3 linked regions of the Xenopus tropicalis genome follow. The protein of the gene in region 1 interacts with the protein of each later gene in a pairwise test. Links are inferred from orthologs where the notes say so. Each region holds a gene or a part of one and is shown on either strand. Other genes may lie near its edges.

What was found.
Region 2: the proteins of sh2d4a (region 1) and hmbox1 interact in binary tests that used the Homo sapiens proteins (3 or more experiments, as listed by UniProt). The two-hybrid records come from large-scale screens. The link is inferred for Xenopus tropicalis from reciprocal best matches to the Homo sapiens genes SH2D4A and HMBOX1.
Region 3: the proteins of sh2d4a (region 1) and rint1 interact in binary tests that used the Homo sapiens proteins (3 or more experiments, as listed by UniProt). The two-hybrid records come from large-scale screens. The link is inferred for Xenopus tropicalis from reciprocal best matches to the Homo sapiens genes SH2D4A and RINT1.

The regions. Positions count from the first base shown.
Region 1 is NC_030677.2:96,289,558-96,293,213, forward strand, and holds part of sh2d4a (SH2 domain-containing protein 4A), read right to left. Parts: intron 1,041-3,656; coding exon 905-1,040; intron 1-904. UniProt on the Homo sapiens protein: Inhibits estrogen-induced cell proliferation by competing with PLCG for binding to ESR1, blocking the effect of estrogen on PLCG and repressing estrogen-induced proliferation. May play a role in T-cell development and function.
Region 2 is NC_030681.2:151,828,332-151,831,635, reverse strand, and holds part of hmbox1 (homeobox-containing protein 1), read left to right. Parts: intron 1-621; coding exon 622-717; intron 718-1,134; coding exon 1,135-1,229; intron 1,230-3,221; coding exon of another isoform or gene 3,222-3,227; coding exon 3,228-3,304. UniProt on the Homo sapiens protein: Binds directly to 5'-TTAGGG-3' repeats in telomeric DNA. Associates with the telomerase complex at sites of active telomere processing and positively regulates telomere elongation.
Region 3 is NC_030679.2:77,082,545-77,086,200, forward strand, and holds part of rint1 (RAD50-interacting protein 1), read right to left. Parts: intron 3,588-3,656; coding exon 3,362-3,587; intron 703-3,361; coding exon 565-702; intron 216-564; coding exon 16-215; intron 1-15. UniProt on the Homo sapiens protein: Involved in regulation of membrane traffic between the Golgi and the endoplasmic reticulum (ER); the function is proposed to depend on its association in the NRZ complex which is believed to play a role in SNARE assembly at the ER.

The sequences.
Region 1 (3,656 bases):
AAAAAAGCATTTTGCAATTATTGTTGTTTTAAAATCATGTTTTTCTAATAAAAAAAAAAGTCTCACAATCTAGTGAAGTAACTGTCAGGAAAAAACTCAACCCACACTGACCCTAACCTGCAAAACCTTAACTGACACCCGACCCTAACCCACAAAATGTTGTCAATGTAGGACCTGCACCCAACCTGTACCCATGTCTTTGCACTCTGTACCCCACTTCTGCAGGCACCACAGTTCCCAAAGACATGGAACTTCAGAAGCAAAGCAGAAGTGTAAATCCCCAAACTGACCCGCACCCAACCTGAACCTGCAATGGTTTCCCAAATTTCAACTGTGACCCGTCTTACCTAAGGGTAAACCTGCGGGTTGCAGGTCAACCCACACATCACTATCACAACCATTGATTAAAAAAAAACACCTTGCCAGGTGTTAAACATGAAGGTGGATCTATTAAGCTTTCAAGTTTTGTGGCAGCAGACACCTTGTACATGTAGAAGGAAACATGAATTCCACCATATTAGCAAATTCTGAAAAACTTAACCTCAAAATCCACCATGAGCTACTTGAATAAAAGCAAGCTGAAGGTTTTGGAATGGCCCTCACAGTCCCCTGACTTTAACATTATTGAAGATCTGTGGGAACGTGTTTATTAGCTGTGAATACTGACAAAGCTTTTCCAAAGTTCTGCACATACCACAATAACTATTTGCTTCCACCTGTGTTTGTTTCTATGATATAAAGTTTATGAAACACCATGTAACTTTGCATTAACATCTGTAACATTTTAACATGACTGATACTTGCAGTAATTGTTTCCTACTTTTTCACTTACAAAACTAAATATGTAAGTTTGGCAAAGGGTGCCCAAACATTTGCATTCAACTGTTTTTGTACAACGACTTACACGATTCCTGCCATTCTTTATCTTCTTTTTCTAATTTTTGTTTCACTTCTTGTGCTTCTTTCCAGTTCATGTAAATTTCTTGAGTTCTCTCTTGAAGTCTGTCATTTTCTTTTTCTTTCAGGATATTTTCTTTCTTCTGTAACAAAACACAAAAAGAAACAGGTTTTGTTAATACCCTTTTAAATTTTAAGTAAGCACCGTGCAGATTCCAAAAACTGATTCCGAATCCTAACTTGCAAATTAGGCTACTAAACAGGGCCGGATTTCTCAATAGGGCACCCGAGGCCGCCCACCTCGGCACCCAAGCCGCACGCATGCGCCGAGGGGAGAGGATGCTCTAAAGTTTCTGCGCGACCTGGTGCGGCTAGGCGGCATGCCACCCCTAAATTTCTGCTGCCCTAGGCCCGGGCCTTTGTGACCTTGCCACAAATCCGAGCCTGCTACTAAAGGGTTAAATACAAGTGCATAGGTGCTTTAAGGTTTGTATAATTTTTAAATCTGCATGAATGGGGGATGGCCTCGAGGCGCCAGGATTGGATTTCCGGCGCTGTTCTCACCATCTGACCAAGGCAGATAAAATTCAGTGAGCAGTACCTTGCACTTCATAAATCAAAGAAAACACAAATGGAAAGTTGTTGCTCAACGTTAGAAATGAGGACTTCAAGTTCTTTTTTCTTTGTGCTTATAATTATAAATATCTCACATGTTTTAAGTTTAGGAGCCACACTTTTGTGCATGCCACAATATCTGTTATCTTTGTTTCTGTGTTTCAAAGTAAGTGAAATAAAATATAACTGTGCAACATTTGCAATTATGTTTACACATAATCAGTTTTCTGCTTGTATTTCCTGGTACACAAGTTCTAATTTTAAAAAAATTATTTTTTCTACTCTACTTTCTGTGCTGTTTATATATCTGGCCAGTAGAGGTCATTGGCAACAAGGATGTACCTTCTTTCTTCCATGCCCTGGTGTGCCTTCCAGATTTATATTTTTGAATCTTCTATACTTAACTGCTAACCAAGGAAAGCTACCTTCTGCTGGAAAGTACACTTTACTTATTCACTGTTCAGGAGCATGTAGACAATATTTTTTCAATACACAACTTTTTTGTGCCAAAAGTAAATGTGGTTGCTGCATGATATAAATTACTTCAATGTGGACAATATAATGGTGAATCTACAAACAATGTGTAGCATCTTTACGAGAGTTGGTATTTACCTGGTAGTTTGGTAAGTTAAGGACTGGGGCAGACGGGGAGATTATTCGCCCGCGACAAATCTCCCTTGTCGCAGGCGACTAATCTCCCCGATATGCCATCCCACCGGCTTGAATGTAAATCGCCGATGGGATGGCATATGCGGCGTCACGATTTCCCAAAATCGCGGAAGTTGCCTTTAGAGGAAAAGTAGATTAGTAAAAAAAAAAAAAAAAAACAAGCTCTCCTTCAGAGAAAGAATGCTCTTAGAGCATGATTTACCCCTGGCAAAGGCAAGCCAAGTTGAAGCAGAAGAGGCAAAAACTGCTGCAAATGTACAGACTGGGAATCCAGCACCTGAGCGTAATAAGGAACATTCTCAGGTCAACCACAATGATACGTAAAAGGGATTCGCTTATACTGCAAAACAGAGCAGCAAATGCACATCAAAAATTCATTTTGGTGTGGTTCAACACAGAACACTCCAAACTATGCTACATATCCTGCAGAAGCAAATATTATTCTGATATGACAACTCTCCTTCTACAGATGTTTGCAAATTTACTCTAGATATATCTTAAAGGAGAAGAAAAGTCTAAATCACTGGAGGGTGCCAAATGTTAGGTTTGCTTACTGGGGGAGTTATTGAATCACTTACCTGATACCCCGGGCCAGTGCTCCTGTTAGCATAAAACTGCACAGGCCTGGGGTATTCCTGTAGAAGTTTTCGGCGCTATCTTTCTTCCTCTAATTTCCTGAACCAGAACGAAAAGAAGAAGGAAGACTATGAAGAAGATGACGATGAGAATCTTCTGCAGAGATAGCCTGGGCCAGTGCTCCTGTTCACTAAAAACTGCACTGGCCCAGGGTATCAGGTAAGCAATCATAATCACTGGGCGGTGCCTAACATTTTGACACCCCCGGTGATTTAAACTTTCCTTCTCCTTTAAGTACAAATAAAGTTGGTACATCCATTGAAGACAAACTTACTGTATGTGCACTGTTACTGTTAGTGCTGTGGCTGCTGACAAAGGTTATTCTATTAACCTGATGCTGGATACATGATGAGCATTTTCTATACTACCAGAGGATATTCAGTGGAAATACTTTGCAATAGATCGTTAGCAGCCATCACTTGTCAAGTATTTAAGTGATCAAGTTCCTTTGCTTGCCACTGCACTGATTTACTTGGGAGGGGCCACTTTGCTGCATTAAGCCTGCAGTAAGTGGATGGTCACATTATTACAGCCCCAGCTCCTGACACACAACCAATGTCCAAAATGTTATTCTGCACTTCACTGGGGTGTATACAGAATTACATTTCACACAAAAAGAATGATTGTCAGTGAACTGGTGTAGCCTTTATAAATACATAAACAAAATGAAGTGTATTACAAGTTTGGCCAAAAAGGCGGCAGCCTCGGGGCACAGACTTATCAAATGCGCGCCTGCATCTGTGCGCCCTCTCATTCCAAGAAAGGGAATCTTTAAGAGCTGAGGAGGGGTGTACTTGCCAAGTCTTATCCAAACCCTATTCTGCAATGGTTGCCCAAAT
Region 2 (3,304 bases), on another chromosome or scaffold:
TATCTTTACATATTATTCAGCAAAGACCTTGAAATGCCGAGTAGAAATCACCGCCATCTACATAATTCATGTCTGCACAATAATTCATTTGCTATTAAGGGCCTTGGTAGGGTGCCAGGCTGCTCAGCGGCAGTGCCAGGGCCGGCTTGGCTCAGTGTAGGTGCCTCGTACACACACAGCGCTCTAGCGCTCTCTTGCACTCTCAAGGTGAACGTTGGCCCAGCACTAGTAAAGGGGAACTTGATTTACCCCAGCAGCCAGGGAGGGGGTTGTTTAAGAAGGTGTATAGTAGCGGGGCAATAAAAAATAAGGTGGTACGTTCCACTTGGGCAAAGCAGATTGTAGGTACAGTGCTCCCTCCACCAAAGTGGGGCAACTGGCACATTGGCAGGCAGCACTAGTGTAGGTAGGGGCAGGTAGAGACCAGAGCTTTGTTATAGAGGGGCAACTGGCACATTGGCAGGCAGCACTAGTGTAGATGGGGGCACGTAGGGGCCAGAGCTTTGTTATAGAGGAGTAACGGGGGCATTTGCGCCTGGTCCTGCACAGATTGCAGATGAGCCCCAATATCTCTATAAGCAGAACAGTGACATTTATTGTCTCCTCTCTGTGTTTGTGCAGGCAAGAAGCTGTCGGACCTGGAGCGGGTCACCTCGCTGAAAGTCTACAACTGGTTCGCTAATAGGAGGAAGGAGATCAAGAGACGAGCCAACATTGGTAATGTGCCAGGGCAAGCAGCAGCCCCCAGCATGGCACCCTGGCACCCCTATATTATGGGCCACATTCCTGCAGTTTGTTCAGCCATTTCTGCCATCTGTCATTATGTCGGCAGCGTGTAGCATAGGCCGTAGTAACACACGAGTGCCAGGCTCCTAAATGGACCCCCCTCGTGCCAAGGCTGCTCCAAACCTTTTGCCTATTGTTATTTCTTGCTCTAAACAGGGGAATTGGCACTATCCCGTGTTAGTAATTTGTTTGGCCTTCAACCCCCCTTAATAATTATTACAGAAAGTTTGCATTACTTCCCCTTTATCTGCAGGAATGCCTTTGTCTCCCCCCCATCATTCTCGTACCCCTAGGAATACTGACGTTGCCATTGCAGATAATTTAGGGCCATGTTTGCTTTTTTCGAAGAAGCAGCAATCCTGGAGAGTCATGGGATCGATGTACAGAGCCCCGGGGGTCATTCCAACAGCGACGACGTGGATGGAAATGATTATTCGGAACAGGTGAGCACCTGGGCTTCTCCTCTCTGCTCCCCCTATAGCTGAATAAAGGGAATGGGGGATATGGAACAGCGCTCCATCAAGGTCAGTACTGGGTATTTGCTTCTCGGGCTCCTCATACATTCCTGCTTATTATTGCACAGGTTTGTAAATAGCTCTCAGCTGATGGGTTGGTTGGGATCTCCAGAGGGTTCTGCTGCATCTATGAGTTGATATTACAGTGCCCTGTAGTTCAGCCGGGCTTTGTAATGATACTGTTCCCAATGGGGAGATCTCCAAACAAATAAGGTGTTGCCTAAGGGTGAAGACACACAGAGCTACTAGTAGCAGCTACAGAAATAGTGCTGATCAATTACTGATAATTGTCTGTGTGTTTTAGCAGAGGCAATTCTCAGTATTGTCTATGGCAGGATATTTTCTTGCATAGTAGCCGTGAAAAAGTAGCTGCTACTAAGTAGCCCTGTGTGTCTTCACCTTAATGGCTCCCAGGGGGCAATCATTTGGGTAATAAATAGGGCCTATTCAAACCTGCCCAGTAGATATCTTGCTATTCCCTGGCCAGTAATGGGTAGGGCAGGCTATCAGTGTTTGGCTCCATACACAGGGACAAGGGGGTAACATGGCGGCTGTGCTGCGCAACTTTTAGCCGAAAAACCGCTACTATCTACCTTGTTGTTTTAAACTTGATGTCTGGTTTTTATGAGAAGAACACATCGTTTGGTTGAAAAATTATAATTAAGAACCTGGAATGGCGTAATTTCATTGGTCCCAGTGCTGAGAGATAATTAGGGCCCTCCCAACAACGCCAGTCTCGCTCCCCCCCCCCCCCCCCCCCCGGCACATTTTCCTTGATTTTAATAGCGGTTATTTTGGGACTGAGGAAACTAAATAAGCATCTTTATTTGTATGATTTAATGAAAAGCTACAGAGCGCAGGCACTTAATTACACTGGTGGGAAATAACCACTCATACAGCTGTGCCCAAAAGGAACCTGTATTGTGCCACTCCGACCAGCAACTGCCAACTGGGAGCCCCGCCACTCAGCAACCTCCTGCTGGAGTATCACTCATGTATTATAAGGGATAATGTACCCCCTACTGTAAATGATAAGGATATTAGCAGTCACTGAGGGGTTCTGTGCCCATATAAAGGCACAAGGCTGCAGGCTGAGTTATACAGGGAACTCTGAGTATCACTCATGTATTATAAGGGATAATGTACCCCCTACTGTAAATGATAAGGATATTAGCAGTCACTGAGGGGTTCTGTGCCCCCCATATAAAGGCACAAGGCTGCAGGCTGAGTTATACAGGGAACTCTGAGTATCACTCGTGTATTATAAGGGATAATGTACCCCCTACTGTAAATGATAAGGATATTAGCAGTCACTGAGGGGTTCTGTGCCCATATAAAGGCACAAGGCTGCAGGCTGAGTTATACAGGGAACTCTGAGTATCACTCATGTATTATAAGGGATAATGTACCCCCTACTGTAAATGATAAGGATATTAGCAGTCACTGAGGGGTTCTGTGCCCCCCATATAAAGGCACAAGGCTGCAGGCTGAGTTATACAGGGAACTCTGAGTATCACTCATGTATTATAAGGGATAATGTACCCCCTACTGTAAATGATAAGGATATTAGCAGTCACTGAGGGGTTCTGTGCCCATATAAAGGCACAAGGCTGCAGGCTGAGTTATACAGGGAACTCTGAGTATCACTCATGTATTATAAGGGATAATGTACCCCCTACTGTAAATGATAAGGATATTAGCAGTCACTGAGGGGTTCTGTGCCCATATAAAGGCACAAGGCTGCAGGCTGAGTTATACAGGGAACTCTGAGTATCACTCATGTATTATAAGGGATAATGTACCCCCTACTGTAAATGATAAGGATATTAGCAGTCAGTGAGAGAGAGAGATTGATATTATTTATCTCTTGTGTTCGGGACTTTGACTTGTATTTAACGGCTCTCATTTCCCCCCTTACATGCTTAGGATGACAGTACGAGCCATAGCGACCATCAAGACCCAATCTCATTAGCAGTGGAAATGGCAGCCGTCAACCACACCAT
Region 3 (3,656 bases), on another chromosome or scaffold:
ATGGGTCTTACTTACAACATTGTCAGCCCAATCTCCAAGAACTGTTGCAATGTAGTTGACAGCATTGAGTATTGCACAATATCTGAAGCCCAGGGGATCTCTGCTCTCTTCCTTCATCACTTGTGTTAAACGTATCCTGAAGTCATCAACTAAGTCCTTTTGCAGCTCCAGGAATTTTAGCTTTCTGGATGCTGTGGGCAAATTTCTGTACCTGTCTAAAAAAAACACAAGCTCATACAACCATCAACATTATAATAAGTGGGGCCACCAGAGGAACTATGGGTAGTTGCATGTTAAAAGTCTGAATACATAGTAGCAATGCTCAAGGATCTCATTTATTTCATATGCCACATCTATGTTATTAGAATTAGATTCCATTCACATGAACAGGTTGCAAGAGAGCTTATTTGAGTTTTTTTGGCTCATGTGCTATAAGCCTTATAGTTAAATGAACAAAGTAGCATTTGGTCACTGGGTGATAAATTAATATCTGTTATAGTGGGCTCTCCTAGCATGAAAAGAAGTAGACTGAGGTAGCACTGTTTGGGACAGCCTTTGAGTTACCTGTGATAACAAGTAGGAGAGTCATAAATGTTTCAGCAGAATCTGGAACCTTCATTTCATCCACATCAGATATATCTTTATATTGTGAGGTCCAGGCAGCCTCAGCAGACAGCATGGAATCCATCTTTTCTAGAGCCACTAGAAAAACATTGATGCAACAAACACATTTTAAACTTTTGAAAAGATGATACTCAATGCAAACGTTTTGTCGCCCTTGCTAAATAACATTTAATTCATTTTACAAGTCAAAAGTAGGAAACAACTGCAGGAGTTACATTTAATTTCACCAAAAGAAAATACCGTATATACTCGAGTATAAGCCGAAAAATGTGCTTAAAAACTCATGCTTGGCTTATACTCGAGTATATAGGCTGTGCTGGCATTCGGCTCGCACGCCGAATAGTTTCACAAGAGGTGCCTCTTTCCCGTATTCATTAGTGATTTGCTGGCACAGCTGCACAGCTCACCCACTGAACGCCAGATTGATCTATTACAGTGCATTTAAGAATGAGCATGTATCAAGCTGACTGTATATAATGAAATGGAAACCTGCCATAAGCGTACTTACATTGTATTTGTAAGGTGAGCATCATGGTCTTTATTTTATGCGTTTGTGATCACAAATCTAGTTGAAAGAAATATAACTTAACTAATTTTTTGTTCTGCAATATCAAGCCATGGCTCTGTTTGTCTGAGGCTGCATTGGTCTAAGTAGAGCCATATTTTCTTGTCTGGGAACTTTTTTTTGTATATCCAAGTACACACTAACAAGCATGGTAGCTGACTGTCAATGCACACAGGGGGTGAAATTCAGGGCATACTAAAACTCAGGGCAGAGGGCAGCAGATCACACACCAGTGGAGAAAACACCTCCTAGCCTTAGCCATCATAACTGGTACAAATTGTACACAATCAAATTACCTTGCCTTGAGGCAAACAGCTCCATCACAGGGAATCAGTAGCCAATGTCATTAATATTATTATTTGCTGATATGCAGATAATGGCAGAGTTAATTTGCACGTGCGTGCCGAATGCCAGGGCAATTCCATGTATAACAATCCAGGAACTCATAGCCACAGTAGCTGCTGCATTTCCCACCCTAGGCTTATACTCGAGTCAATACGTTTTTACAGTTTTCTTAGGTAAAATTAGGTACCTCGGCTTATATTCGGATCGGCTTATACTCGAGTAGATACGGTAATTGTGGCATGTGCAACAGTTTGGACATCTTTTTAATTGTTCAGTGATAAATGCTGTTTTTGCAACATCTTTCACCCTAATTGGTTCATTAGGCCTTAATAACCATAGGAGTTGTTACCTGTGGACTTAATAAAATCTCTGAGACCCCAAACTTTGGGCTGTCACTCGGCAATTACAGGCTCCTTTAGCAACTACGCGACGATCTGAAAATAAAGCCAATTGATGCCTACAAAGCAGGAGAGGGATATATAAAAATGCTCCAGCTTGCAAAGCATTGGAAGTCAATGCAATATGTGAAAACTTTCAGAAAAACAAACCCTCATATGGGTACAAAAGACTAGCAGGAAGAATTGGCTGACACAGCAGTCATGTTACACAGTCAACAGGAGGAAGCCTTACAAGCAACCTAATCACAGACATCAATGTCTGAGGCATGTAAAACAGCATCTAGACAAACCAGAGTGCTTTTGGCAAAAAGTGCAGGGACTGATGAAGTCCAAATTCAACTCTTTGGCTGAAGCTAAAATGGGGCTGGATCCTACACCAAGACAATGATCCTAAACATACCTGACAAGCCACAATAATGAGAAAAGCAAGCTGAAGGATTTGGGATTGCTCTCACAGTACCCTGACTCAAACATCATTAAAAATCTGTGGTTAGATCTTAAACAGTTAAAAATGACAAATTATCTGAATGGAAAGTGGTAAAAATCCATACAACTAAATGTGAAATATTTAAAGATAGATGCAAAAGCCATTAACCAGCTGTTATCTGAGCCAAAGGGGGTGTTAATAAAGCATAGGAACAAAGAGAATAGTATGTAAGGCACATACAAAAGTTTGGACACCCTTGTGCCAACATTTAACATTAATGAAATAAAATATATGCGCATTAACATTTGCAGGGGGTTTTTTTTGTATCATACATTTTTCAATATGGGATAGGGAGGAGGGGTACACAGAAAGAATAAAAGTTCACATTTAACTAATGGATATATTAATCAGAATTTAATTGTGCTTATAAGATGGTCACTATTAACAGTTAATTAAAAGTCTTAGCGTTAAAGGAGAAGGAAAGGTAAAAACTAAGTAAGTTTTATCAGAAAGGTCTATGTAAATACAGCCATAAGCACTCACAGAAACACTGCAGTCCTTTCTCAAAAGAAACAGGTTTTGTTGTCTTTGTTTTCCTGTGCCAGAGACACGCAGCTCTCCTCTCTCCTGCTCCCCCCTCCCTCAAGAATACTAAGAACTCACTCGCCCCCTCCTTAGGAATGTGGATCTGAGCCAATCAGCTTCCTCATAGTCTTACAAACTGCGTATGTACACCGATCTTGGTATTAGTTCAGGACCAAGGCATTATGGGTACTTTCTTTACAGAGCTCAGCATTTTTTTTTTCCTATGAGGCTTCTGATCATCTGAACAGGAGAAATATGGGGAGACATAAGGGCACTATTGAGACAACTGAAGGTATGCCTGCAGCTTGAGATTAACTCTTTATTAGCCTTTCATTCTCCTTTAAGAACGCAAAATGACAGGTTCAGGCGCAAAAAAATCAATTAGAAATAGTCACAACTAATGCAAAGCATTCTTACATTTTCTCTCCACTGTCAGCCATCTTTGAAAACAGGTTTCTTCAGATAGAATGTGCATGCAGTTTGGGAGATTGCTGGGATAACCATGTGATGTGTAAAGTTCTCTCTGAAACAAAAGTACTTCATCCACAAGGTGACAAAACAGAATGTCATCATATAGCAGTAACGGGATGTCCACTGCAAGCTTCTCCAGCACCAGCATGACTAAACCACGCGTGAACTCCAGCTGGGGAATAATCAGATACACAAACTGCTGTTAAATTGACTATATGGATTACAGGAACAATGTAATCTC